Drosophila melanogaster: one gene and its partner. Changing the gene in region 2 together with the main gene of any one other region gives a genetic interaction. Each region holds a gene or a part of one and is shown on either strand. Other genes may lie near its edges. The genes, in order: run and Nipped-A.

Region 1 (8,135 bases), on a different chromosome or scaffold from region 2:
CCGGAGGCGTCGTAACTTATAACACTATATCACAATTATAATTTTTGCCCGCTTGCCGCTCTGCGTCGCCGCTGTTATATCACTTTGTTTTCTTCATTCCTCCAGATTTTTGGGGATCAGATGCCCTAGTAGGGCCGCCACACGGTCTTCTGCTGCACGGCGGCGCTCTTGATCTTGGTGGTCGTTTCCGGCGACGGCTGGCGGCTGTTGGCTACCGCTCCAGGACCGCTCTCGTGGTAGAGCGGCTTCATGGCCGAGGGCGCCTTCAGGTCGCAGCGCATGCGAAGTGGCGCCACATCCAGGCTCTTGTCCAGGTCGAACTCCGATTTGACCACGTCGATCTGCTCGTCGTCGGAGTCGCCGTCACTGGCGGACTGCTCGTGGATGGAGCTCGTCTCGATGGAGGTGTTTAGCTTCAGCAGGACGTGTTGCTGGGTGGGCGAGGAGCTGGAGGGCCTGGAGGAGGCGGGGCTGACGTGGACCGGCTCGCTCTGGTGGTGCAGGGCAGCATTGCGGGCCCGCAAGCCAGCTGCCGCGGCAAAGTTATACGGATGGAAGGCGTGTGGCGTGGCTGCCTTGGCGGCGGCTGCGGCGGCCACATGGTTGAATGGGAACTGCGGAATGGCATAGGGCGTGGCAGGCGCCGCTCCCGGTGGCGATGGCATCATGGCCGCCGGTTGTCCCGCCGCCGCTGCCACTGCTGCCGCCGGATGGGGATACTCAGATGGCTGAACCGCCGACGAGGAGCTGGTGGCCACCGATGGATTGGGATTTGGCGACACCGAGGAAGCCGAGGACTTGGCCAGTGCCGGATGATGCACCTGGGCCGCCTGGGCGGCTGCCTGGTGGCGGAAGTAGTCCGCATAGCCGTAGGTCATGTACGCCGCATCCAGCCAAGCGGGATTCAGCATGAACGGGTTAAACGCGCCGGGATGGGGATAGCCATAGCCTGGAAGGATAAAGAAAAAGGGCGGGAAGTCAGTAAAGCACAACTCGTATTTCATCGGAATGCGTTTTTAAAAAGGTTGGGGGGATGGTGGGGGATTTGGTTGGCGGCAATGGATCTCAAGATCCTTGGATATGTGTATCAAAACCGAATTGCAAAAGGATAAGCAAAAATAATGATAAAATCTTTAAGATAAAGTGATCAATGCAATCATTTCAAAACAGACTGATCATTTAAAGTTGAGCTTAAAAATGGCATTAGTTATTTAAGATCATAACTAGTTAGTGTTGGCAAATGTTTTCAAAACTATGAATATTGTAATTGAAGATATGCAAACGGTTTCTGAATTGGTTTTTTGGGGATCTTTGGGAGTGGATTAAACTGAAAACATAATGGAAACTAAAAAACTCACTTTGCTTACTTCTTGGCTCCCGTGGCCCGTCGACGGTCACCTTGATGGCTTTGCTGTAGCTGGCGATCTGCACCGGATAGGTGGCAATGGTGATGGTCAGCGTGAAGGACTTGCCGCGTCCCGATCGTCCCACGAAGCGCAGATCGTTGAACTTGGCCACCTGGTTCTTCATGGTCGTGGTGCAGTTCCTCAGCTCGCCGCAGTAGTTTTCGTCGTTGCCGCACTTGATGGACACCAGGGTGCCATCGGGCACGTCGTCCAGGGCGATCACCTTGAAGGCTCCGGGCAGCGACTTGTTCGACCGCCAGTGATTGGGCAGGGCGCTGCAGAGGATCGAGGGCGATCCGGTCTGGGCCAGCTCGCCGTGATACTCCTGCAGCATCTCGTGCAGGCTGGCGAACATGTCGGTCATCGAGCTGGGCATCTTGGCGGAGTTCTGCGGACTGGTGGTGGCGTTGCTGCTCGAGCTGGTGTTGTTCGTGCTGAGATCTGGTGTGGAGCTGCCCGTGCTGCTGGCCGAGTGGGTGCTCGTGTTGGCCAGACTCTGGGCGGGATTGATGGCGATTGCGGAGGCGGTGGTGGCATTGCTACTCTGCTGCGGCCCAGGACCCTGGGCTACCGCGGCCGCTGCGGCGGCTGCTGCGGCGGCGGCAGCGGCCAGGACCTGTGTGTTGTTGGCCACCATCGTTGGACCCGCTGGCAGATGCATCTCGTATCCGAATGTGGAAATCGTAGCCGTAATCCTGGGGCTGTCGACAATTGCCGGTTTTCTATTGCGGATTCTCGGTATGCACTTCACTTTATCGGGGGTCACTTGGAAAAAATTCGTTTGTTTGTTGTTATTGGATTGTTTCGCGATTTCGAACTCTGCTTCTTTCGAGCCTGTTTCTGTTTTCCAAAGTCGAAAACGATATATTTCTCTGTGCGTTCTCGACACGCTAAAGTCGCTGAGTGAACTGATTCTCTGCTGCGATCGTTGGCAGTATTTAAAGTGGAATGCGCTGCTCGCCGCCTCTGTCGACGGCTCTGCCGGCGTTTGTGCCCCGTCCCACTTGCACGGCGCTAGCGCCGTCTCTTTCCCGCCCATTATCCTGGGCGGTATGGTGGTGTGGTTGGCTACCTACGCACACAGGCGCGCCTTTAAGGGTGCCGGGGCAGGTATATATCGGTATATCGAGCAACCACCATTGCCGCCGCAACAACAACCACAGCAAAAAATTTCCCATTTTTCCATTGCGGTCTCTCTGTGTGTTTGTGTGTGTGTGTGTGTTTGGCTGTCGTGTTAGTGTGCCTGTGTACGTGAGAGAGAAGTCGCTTGTTACTTGTGGCCAAAAAGGAAAAAATAACAGCGGAAAAAAGGAAAATCGCATGGGCGAGAGCGAGAAAGAGAGAGAGAGAGTGATGGCCTGGAAATTGCACCAAAGAAAAACTCAAAAAAGAAATACACCGAGACTTTTCCACTCTCTCGCTCTGGCTCTCGCTTCCTCTCTCGCTTTTCCCCACGGGCGGTCTGGAAATTGTGTGCGTTTTCCTTTTCTTCGCTTTGAATTTTATTTTTTCGCCACGCACGCCAAAAGAAAAACGGCCGTGCAACAGTTTCCCATTTTCCACTTCCAGCGGCGCGCGTGTTTTGGCGGCCCTCCTGCGGAGGGGTTCGTCGAGGGGGGCGGGGGCGGGTGGTACAGGTAGGCACCCATGGCCAAACGGGGGGTTCCCTTCACCATCTCCTTCTCGTTCCCTTGCCTTCCCTTTCCCGAGTAGCTAGGATGCCAGGGGCGTCCTGCCGACAGGACATGAGGACTCAATTAGTCAGTGCGAGGAGGGATCAGGTTGCGAAATTATCATAAATATTATCACAAGCATCAGGAGAGCTATATCACTATGACTTTGGGATAAAAGGATTTAAGCCTTTTAATTTCATGGGTGATACGATTGTGGAGTTTGGAAAATTTTGGAACATGGGATTTTCAATTATGATAATAATCTATAGTACATATAGTACACACTATCCCATACTATCATAAGATGAATTATATTTTCCTTTATATTTGTATTTATTATCATATATTTAATTGCTTTCGAAGGTATCTTATCGATTAAGATGAAGATGCCGAAAAAAATATAATAAATATAATAATATATATATATATATATATATAATATATATATCAACATAAGCACGATATTTTAAATACATCATTATTAGTGCTACAAATCGTTTTAATAATCTGTTCAAAAAACTAATCATTTCCAGTGTTAATTTTTTTTTTTTTGAATATGCATCAACGTTATCCATATAATTTCATTTCAAATAAGTTAAGTTAAGTAATTTAAGATCAGATCTAATTAATAAACATATACACGTGCATAACAGTGCGTCCCATTGTTCGAAAATGTCCCAAAAATTAGTGTTTCATTCAAAATAATCAGAAATCCCCGGCTGATCATATTACGGCACACTGATCCCTCAGTGTTGCTCAATGTTTTTCTCGATTCCGCCCAAAATTTACTTTATCGCCGATCTCGGAACTCGGAACTCGATCAACTGATCTGCAATCTCCGATCTGAATCTGTCCAACTAACACCCATTGTCAGGTCCGGTCCACTTCCAGTACTATCTAAGATGCAGTGCCATCGATCTCTCCGGGGATCGAACTTAATCCTAATGCTGATCGGGCGATTATCCTGCGATTAGTCCTGTAAATATTTGTGCGCCTCTCAGTTCGTGTGGCGCAATCCGGCTCGATTTCATTTCCATTTTCGCTGCCTGCGATCGCCGATCCTTGATTGGATCAGGTTTAGCTAGCTGATCGGATTTAATCTGATGCGGAAGTGTCATACTTGGAAGAACATCGAGTATCTTTGGCTGCCTACATTGAACTCTCTTCAAACTAATCTACGTTTACTTAGGTTTTAAGATTTGTACATTTTGCTTAGCGATTGGCTAAGTGATTAGCACATACATAGATAGTAATTCAGATTACGAAACTTAGCTTCAAAAACGAAATATGAACGATTTAATTAACTTAATGTAAAATGGATTAACTGTGTATTAATTCTTAAGAGCTGCTGAATAACACTTGACACTTGACTTGACAATTTAAAGTAATATTCTCAATTCCTTCAACACTCATTTCGTGCAGTGGAACGCAAATCAAGTGCCTGACTGGCCAAAAAATTGCGGCCCACCAAAACAACCTTAAAAACGAGGCCACACAGGACCCGCGAGTTTTCCGAGGTGGCGGACTCTTCCAGGCACCGCGTGGAGGAGGAGGAGAAGGAATGGGGAGCATGGCCATTCTGGTAGGGGAACTACGAGGCAAGACCAACCAAAATGTCGCGAGAACGCGCCGCTCTCAGCTGGACATTATAGACGCACACTTCCAGTAAATCCAGTGTATCGGCAGCGCTGCCTTTTGTACGTGCGCGGCCGCTCGCTGCGAAGGACCTCGTGTCCCTACACCGATTTCACACCATATAGCCCCGGGATATATGGCAGGACAGCGCAGGTTTAGCGGGCGTGCGACAAGGACGCGATTGCCGATGGCCGATTGACGATTGCCGGTTTCCCGGGAAATCAGCGCTCCTGTCGTCGCTTCTTGGATCCTGCTGCGATTCCTTGGCAATTTGCGACAGGAGCTGCCGCAGCACGCGCATCGCAGGACCCGCAGGACCGCCTCATAGGGATCACCGAGCACCAGGCAGTACCTGATCTCCATACCGAACTCGCTACGAGCCCACAGCAGCCAAAAGGATCAACCCTTTTTTTATGGGCCCTCCGATGCTTTTTTGCGGCCCCAAAAAAGTGGGAAAACTATGGGTTTACTGGCTTTGACGTACCTGGCCCTCAGATGTACCATCGCATGTACTGATATCGCACCTCAAAACAGGTAGTCCAACCGCGCAATCTTAATCCTTTGCTTATGAAAGTCAATCGCCCGGATTAAGCAGCACGCCCCGCAAATATTTTGGCCGATTAGCCGCCGCCACGGGCCATAAAATATGTTCCCAAAAAATAAGCAACGAGCATCTGATACGGAAAGTGCCTACCTGGCCACCAAAAACTCAAAGGACTTCGCTTTTTAGCGGGATTAACCGATGGGAGATTAAGGCGACAGTAACCTGTATTCATGTACTCAATATATGCAATGTTTTTCTCACTGCTGTTGAGCAGTTAATTTAAAACAAAAAAGAGCGAGGCTTAATTAGCTGAATTTACTTCTGTACTTCACCATAAAAAATCACTCCCGACTATTTCTTAGTGCAGATATTTTTTGTACAGTAGTTTAGTACGCAAGCTACTTGAATCTGTAAGATACGGTTTCATCTATGCAAATGTCGTGAGCGGTAAATAAAACTTCCAGTGCGATTAAAAGCTTCTGTACTTACCGATCTTACGCAATCTGAACTATATCTTAGTGCAGATTATTTAGAAAAGTATTTTAGTAATCAATCTACGATACAGGCTGCTAACTGTGAGATACGATTTCACTTATGCAAATACCGTGACGTTCCTGAATAAATTTCCTCGAAATGAATGGGTATCAGAACTACGATCTGTGCATTCCGCACCTCCGAGGAACGGACAAACCAGTACTCCGTTCATCCCCCAATCACCACGGCGATCAGTTGAATTATTCATATACGTGCGCAAGATCCCTCCCCCTCGCAGAAAGAGACGGCACCAGGCGAACGAAAGAGAGGCACCTACGCTCGAGGGGCTGGGGTAACCGCAGAGATCGGCCAACCGTTGGCGAGCAGATGCTACGGAAATAGCTGACATCCAAGAGGGGATGATTTATTAGTAGGGCGATCGTTATGGGAGAGAACGAGACGGCTGCGCCGATCGTGGCTCCGCCTCTCCTCATGGAGCTCCTCGCACAACCGTTATCCAGGCTATACTGAATGCACAGGGATCCCAGGAGCCAGGAGCCATTGACCACGGAGAACCCCAGAACCCCCAACAAAAATTACCGACAGAGAGCGGAAAACTCTGGCACCGTGGAAATTCCAGTGGCGCAGGGGAAATGCTCACTGCCACAGGAGAATAAAAAACAAAAGCGACTGCCAATCGAGGAACATTTTTGTACCCTTCGGTGTTTGGTTAGTTTAACTATTTCAAATGACAAGTGAACAATAACAATATTGATGCGTTTTTGAAACGATTATAACGACGAAAAACTGTTTTAACTAAGCATCTGTATAAAGTGAAACTGAAATTCAATTTAAATTATTTAATTTAAGCATGAAACATATTTTGTAGTAAAAAATTAAATATCTTTTAATAGCTCAAAAGCGTTTATAATAAATACAATAATCAATTTATTCAACAAATATTTGTAAAGTATTATAAAACGTGCATAAATGTTTTGTTTTTTTTTTTTAGGGAAAACAAACTTATTATTTCGTTATGAATATATTTGAAAATATACTGAAAAGTGTATTTAACAATTTGTGCCGCCAATTTGCGCATTCTTCTTTATTTACAAAAGGCAGCAGTGGAAAAGCGGAAAAGCGGGCAGCGCGGCGGCAGCGGACCGACTGCGACTGCGGCTGCGGCGTTGTGTAAGTGAATTGTGGTTTGTTGTTTTGGTTGTGGCGCTGGCAGTGCTGCCGGCAGCGACGTCGGCAGCGACGTCGGCAGCGGCTTCCGACCGCTCCTCCCCATCCCCCTCCCCCGCTGGCGACGTCATTCAACCCTCGGAAAAAATTACACCACAGCCGGTTCACCACTTTCCATTGGAAAACGCTTGTTTGAGTGATTTTTTTTCTGCGTTCTGGGGGTGTTTTTTATTTTCTTTCGTGTGGTGAAAAACGGGGAATGAGTGTGTTTCGGGTTTCCTTCTGTTTTTCTTTTTACCTTTTCCTTTTTTTTTTTTTTTTGGTTTTCTTTTTTTTTTTATTCTTTGCCTTTGCGACACTCCCACAAAATTGTGTTTTGGTTAGGTGGCCATGCATTGGCTGGCTTTCCACCGTTTTCCACACACTTTTCCGACTGCCAGCTGTTCTTTGGCCCGTGTGCGCTACTCCATCTTGGCCGAATCCCAGGATCCTTGGATTGCTTGGGACACATGTCATGGATTTTTCAGCGATCATTTGTGCTCCTTGTGTGCACATACATATATATTTCCTCAGTTTTCGTTGACTTGGCCCCTCTCTATTTACTTAAGAACAATGGATTTTTGGCAGGAACGATCCGTAACCATTTTGAATGGACTTTCTTTTGGGCCCGCGACAATTAGCCAAGGGAAAATGGAAGAGGCGAAAATTGGTGGGGGAAAATATGCAGCTGTCCGATCGGCGTTGAAATCCTAATGATCTCTGGCGATTGTTACACATGTCCCCTACAAATTGTTTACAAAAAACTCCCGAAAAAACGGGAAACAGTAAAGAAAAGTCGGAGGAGTGTGCAAGTTGTTTACATTTGTTGGCACAACAAAGGTTCTTCGGTTATGTTTTGGGCTGTTTTTGATCAAAGGACACTTTTCGTGATCATCGGCATCGTTTTATATTATCTTTTGATATTTATAGTAAGTTTTCCATCAATACGAATCATGTGATTTATGGTTTTTCATTCGAGACCTGCCTGTTTTTTCCTATTTTAAATTTACTGAAAGTGTTGATAGGGGATCATTTCTTTATTCTGTTTATTTTTGTTTTGAGTACAAAACTGAATTTTGAAATGCCTAAAACGGGTTAGCTCTCAACGCATCGGCCGCCCTCTGCAGAAGGTCGATCTGTCCTCGATTAAATACGTTTTCCCACCAACCGATCCTC
Region 2 (4,921 bases):
TCACATTGAAATATTTAATGACGAACCATGTGTATCAAAACTGAAATCGCCTACTCCGGTACTCCGGTTTCGTCTTCTTAAGTTAAAGCTGATATGCAAATATGGATGGATAAGGTGCAGTTGAGATCCAGAGTCGAGAAGAGCGCGACAAGAAACAAATGTTCCTAATCGGTTCATCGCTAATACGGTGGCAGTGGCTACGAGCATAACATCCTTACTAAGATTCTGAGCAAGAAGAGTAGCAGACGTTACGCAGAGTGCAGATGTGAATCAGAAAAAAGTTCGAACCTTTTTGCTAATTTTAATTGATCAGACGGGGTCAGGTTTTTAGGGCGCTCCCAGGAGCATTACAGAAGGCACATGTTGAAGGGCTGAGACTTGGGGCAAGAAGGGCGGAACTACGGAACTCAGATGTTGTATTACATTCTACCTATGGCGCATAGCTTGCCAATGCGAAATCCAGTCTCCAGAGTCCTGCTGCTTCAAGTCTTCCAAATGCTCCTCCTATTTGGGCTGACTCGGCGTGTCCAGCTATTACTTGGGCGATATTGCAATTCAGCGATTTGTTCGATATTTCCAGTTTAAAAACTCCCCCGAACAGAGGATTTAAGAGTCACGAGAATACATCAAATTATTTCCAATTTCGTAAAAAGCCAGTTCTTCGAGCTCGTTGAGATTTTTCTGTTTCTGAAGCTCATCGATTATCTCCAACCTCACGGACAGCAGCTTCCGTTATTTGTTGTACTTCCATTACATATTTGACCCACTTGGATGGTTCCGCTGCCGACAGCTTGGATATGATTGCCAAAATTGATTTACATTTTCTACAATATTTGGCCATTGCCTCTCCTTTCGTTATACATACATGCTTTACATTATGCCTTTCTGTGAACTCCTTTTACGCAATCGAGGTAAATGCTGAGCCTGTATCGATTACAATACATGTTGGAAAGCCAAAAATACTTGACCAGTCGTGTAATCGTCGTCCTGCTGGGCTTTTTTAATACGTAATCTCTGTAGTAACCCTCATACTCTATGGAAAGCGACTAAGGCAGTCAACATGCTTAATTTTTTCTGCGGCACGGTGTTCTACTGTAAAAGTGAAGTCTTGAATTTACATAATCCATGGTCCTACATCTCTCGGTACGTCTTGTTTGGTTGTAGTCTGCTAAAAAGCGACACAATCTGTAATGAGCTTGAACTATATTCCTAGCAGGTAGTGACGAAACTTCTTCATACCTATGTACGCTGCTTTGTCTTCTTAGTAATAGCTATGTCGCTTTCATTCGGCTTCGGAAGTCTTCCTGCTCCAATAATAAACCGGATGAAAACTGCCGTCCACCATCTGCCGCAACACAGCTCCAAATTCATCCTTTAAAGAGCCACTGTGTAGTTCTGTCTCTGCATCTCTTGTGTAAATTTGCCGTACGGGAATGTCTGAGTCGTCTTTTAATTGCTGTATGGCTTAATGTTCACCAATGTAGAAAAGTGCATCTTTTTTCAAAAAAAATTTTCAGCGGACGCGCGATTAAAGCATATCCTGGAACAAATTTTCTGAAAAATCCTGTTAGCCCCAGAAATGATTGTACAGCTTTAATATTTTTTGGCCTGCCACATTTGCCCACCTTCAATGGCATGTCCCAAAAAGTCAATGCGAGTTTGCAAAAATCTGCTCCTTTTCAATTTGAGGCGGTACTACGCAAACAGGTTCTACGGCGACATTGTAGATTGCAGCATAATCTCGTATAAACCATTATTTTCCTTATCCCGCAAAAAAGTATATCCATGCAATGTCTTAAAACAATGATATTTTTTCCCTTTTTTGATCGCACGTTTCGGACATCATTGGACAAAACTCTAGTAAAATTTATTTCTTAGATTTGAGATGTGAGGCGGGTGAATATAAGAAGGCACATTAAAAATCTTCTAATCCGTGCCAGATATAGCCACCGCCAACTGATGCAAAATGGAGTCATTATGGAACAGTATCATCCGTATCAGCGTAAACACTTAAAGCCTAACTTTGATGACATATTTTATTATATATGATTATACCCGTTGCTCGTAGAGTAAAAGCAAAAAAAAAACCTTTAGTTTACATTATTCGGTAACTCCGCTTTGGATACTGCTTGTTTGCATTAGGTGGAGTCTCCCTCTCTGCTTATTCTTTTATCTGAGAACAGTGCTGAATATGTAAGCAGGCCCCAGACAACATGGGTTAAGAAACTTCCGCTGATCAGGATCACTAGCCGAGTCTACAGAGACTTAGTCGCATGTTACCCCGCCGGCAAGCTGTTCAAAACACCCCACGCCCACATATTTGAGAAATCTGTTGAATTTTTTATTTTATGTGACTTTCAAATTTTTATTGGTTTGCCAAACATAATACTACCTAAGAAAACCTACGGACGTAATAAATAATAAATGTGTTTCAAATTTTAAAATTAATGAAGTCGACATCGATAATAAAAATATACTCTTTTTTTGCAATCAAAGTTATGCTTTAAATAATACTTCTTCTGGCAATGTATGCATAATATCTGCGCAAAACTTAAAGTTGCGTAGCACAAACACAATGCACGGTCGTTTTAAATATCAGAAACAGTGGTTTTCAGTTTTAAAAGATTGTTACTAGGGCACCGAAAGGTTTCCCTATAGTACTATATAGATAGCTTTACATAAATAAGTATATAAAATATATTAATAAAATAATTGTATTGTACAAACATAAAAGTTCCGATTATTGGGAGTTACAAATGTAAACACAAAATATTTTCAACTTTGCATTTTAAAAGATAACTACATATATTTAAGCCGAAATTCATTGACAGTTATTTCAACCAAACATGGTTTCTTCATTTAAGGCCCATGCAATGGTGAATTTTAAAACTTACGTGTTGCATTGTATTTTCTTGAATGAACTGAGGTTCGCCATCCTGAAGTATCCGCATAAATATTTTTAAAGAATTATCTAAGAACGACGGATATGCCGGACTTTGCATTATCATTTCAAAGTGTTCACTTAGCTCTTGAGTAGCTTTCAGCTTAAGTTCGTCTTTAGAAGAGGAATCATTTAAAATATTTAAATAATTCCGAAATGTATTCACCGGTACATTTTCAATAACCGACATTGTGCCTTTTAACTCGTTCAACAACTTGACCGCTGTAAACAAAAAGGAATAGTCGGAAATTGTATGACCGATATATTCGATTTAATTGTTTGTCAAGATAGCATATAAGAAATTTTGAAACAGGAACGCAAAAATATTTTAGAAATGCTTCAATTTTTTATATAATATAGAGCTCCCACAGAGATGCATCTATATTAAACCTTTCACAACCTTCAGTGTTAAAAATTGGCACGGAATTAATTCCATCTTATTTGCATGTTTACTGCAGGATACAGGCTTGTCTATCTTTAAGTTAAATTTAAATGTTTTTTATTGCTATTTTATTTCAATAACTGTGTTATTCTATAAATATTTACGTGTAGGGAAATCAACATACAAAATACTAAATAATGTGTATTGTTAGTGATGGATTTAATCACAAGAACATTTAGCTCCGTTTATTTGTGGATGTAGTAATAATTCGGTATAACTAGATTTTTTATTATGTTCTTTAATATAGTCGGTCGAAATGCTCGGATTATTACTTCAATGGTATAATAAATAAAGGAGTGCCAATATTTCAATATTCAATATTCAATATTCAATGGTGGGTCATATCGTCATAGATGACGAAAGAAACGGATAAACCAAATTCATTTTTTCAATAAGGAGCTAATCCAGCTTCATTTAGACTTATTTACCTTGAATTGAAGGCCTGTCAAATTACTTATGCCGAAACAAAAAATCATCATATTTCATTAAGTTTCTTATAACTTTTTAAATTTAAATAAAAACAATTTCGTTTGTTCATTTTTAAGTTTATATTAATTACACACAAAAAATAAAAAATAGTCAATACTACCATATCAAGCCATTTAAAAGTTTCACTGACAAGTGTGCAGCTTTTTTTTGTCAAAATACTTATGCCGACTAGTGTATATTTCAAAAGATCCCTGTGGCGGCCGGCATTGCAATCAACTAAGCATCGGAACGCGACGTTGACACCTAACACTCCAGTGCGGTCGATCGAGCGATCGAACTGCAAGACTTCTAATTATTGAAGGCAATATTAATAATATGACTTCAATGACTTCAACCGACAGCCAAGTGAACTGAAATAAATAAGCTGAGTAATGGTATAAGCCAAAGCATATTAAGAAAAGCAAGATAAAGAATTTTGAAGCCGAGCTCTACAGAGAGGAGCTGTGGTACAAGCCAAAACATATAAAAAAAGAAATTAATAAAAACACATAAACAAATAAATCTAAAAATAGAAGAAAAGAAATTATTACCAGCTATTAAGAAAAGAGCTAGGTAATTAATCTGAGTTCCATAAAAAAATAATAATAATATAAAGGTCGGGTGGAGCAGGCTACCCTCCGCAAGCCAAAGAAGAAACAACAAACAAACAAACGAAAACAACTAATCCCCAAATGTAAATCGGGGATATTATTGAATTAGGGATGGGTAATAATTACAAGACAAATTAAACATCTAATAGTTGTTTTCGTTATAAACCCCAACTCTAGGTCCCATATTGGAAATAAAACCATTGTCATAAAACCGTTTCAGTGCGAGGCGATCGACGGGCAACCCTCCGAAATGAATGGAAGAAATGGCTACGGGCTTTTACAATATATCTCGACGCCGAGGCAGAACTCAACGTTTGAGAGACAAGTATTTAGTATTTAATCTGATCGAAATCATCCTTGCGACAAGACAAGTCAGGACATGTCTTGCGTCATCTCCTGGATCTCCACAATATACGAGTCTAATTCCTTGACGTTTACGAATAGATCAGCCAATTAAAC

Evidence for each region.
Region 1: of Nipped-A (region 2) and run, changing one enhances a phenotype caused by changing the other (phenotypic enhancement), as found in Drosophila melanogaster (one study listed by BioGRID).

The regions. Positions count from the first base shown.
Region 1 is NC_004354.4:20,688,625-20,696,759, reverse strand, and holds the start of run (runt), read right to left. Parts: upstream 6,091-8,135; 5' UTR 5,748-6,090; intron 2,650-5,747; 5' UTR 2,068-2,649; coding exon 1,359-2,067; intron 950-1,358; coding exon 126-949; 3' UTR 1-125. UniProt on the Drosophila melanogaster protein: Plays a pivotal role in regulating the expression of other pair-rule genes such as eve, ftz, and h.
Region 2 is NT_033778.4:5,247,835-5,252,755, forward strand, and holds the start of Nipped-A (Nipped-A), read right to left. Parts: upstream 3,189-4,921; 5' UTR 3,132-3,188; coding exon 2,895-3,131; intron 1-2,894. UniProt on the Drosophila melanogaster protein: Part of the Tip60 chromatin-remodeling complex which is involved in DNA repair. Upon induction of DNA double-strand breaks, this complex acetylates phosphorylated H2AV in nucleosomes and exchanges it with unmodified H2AV.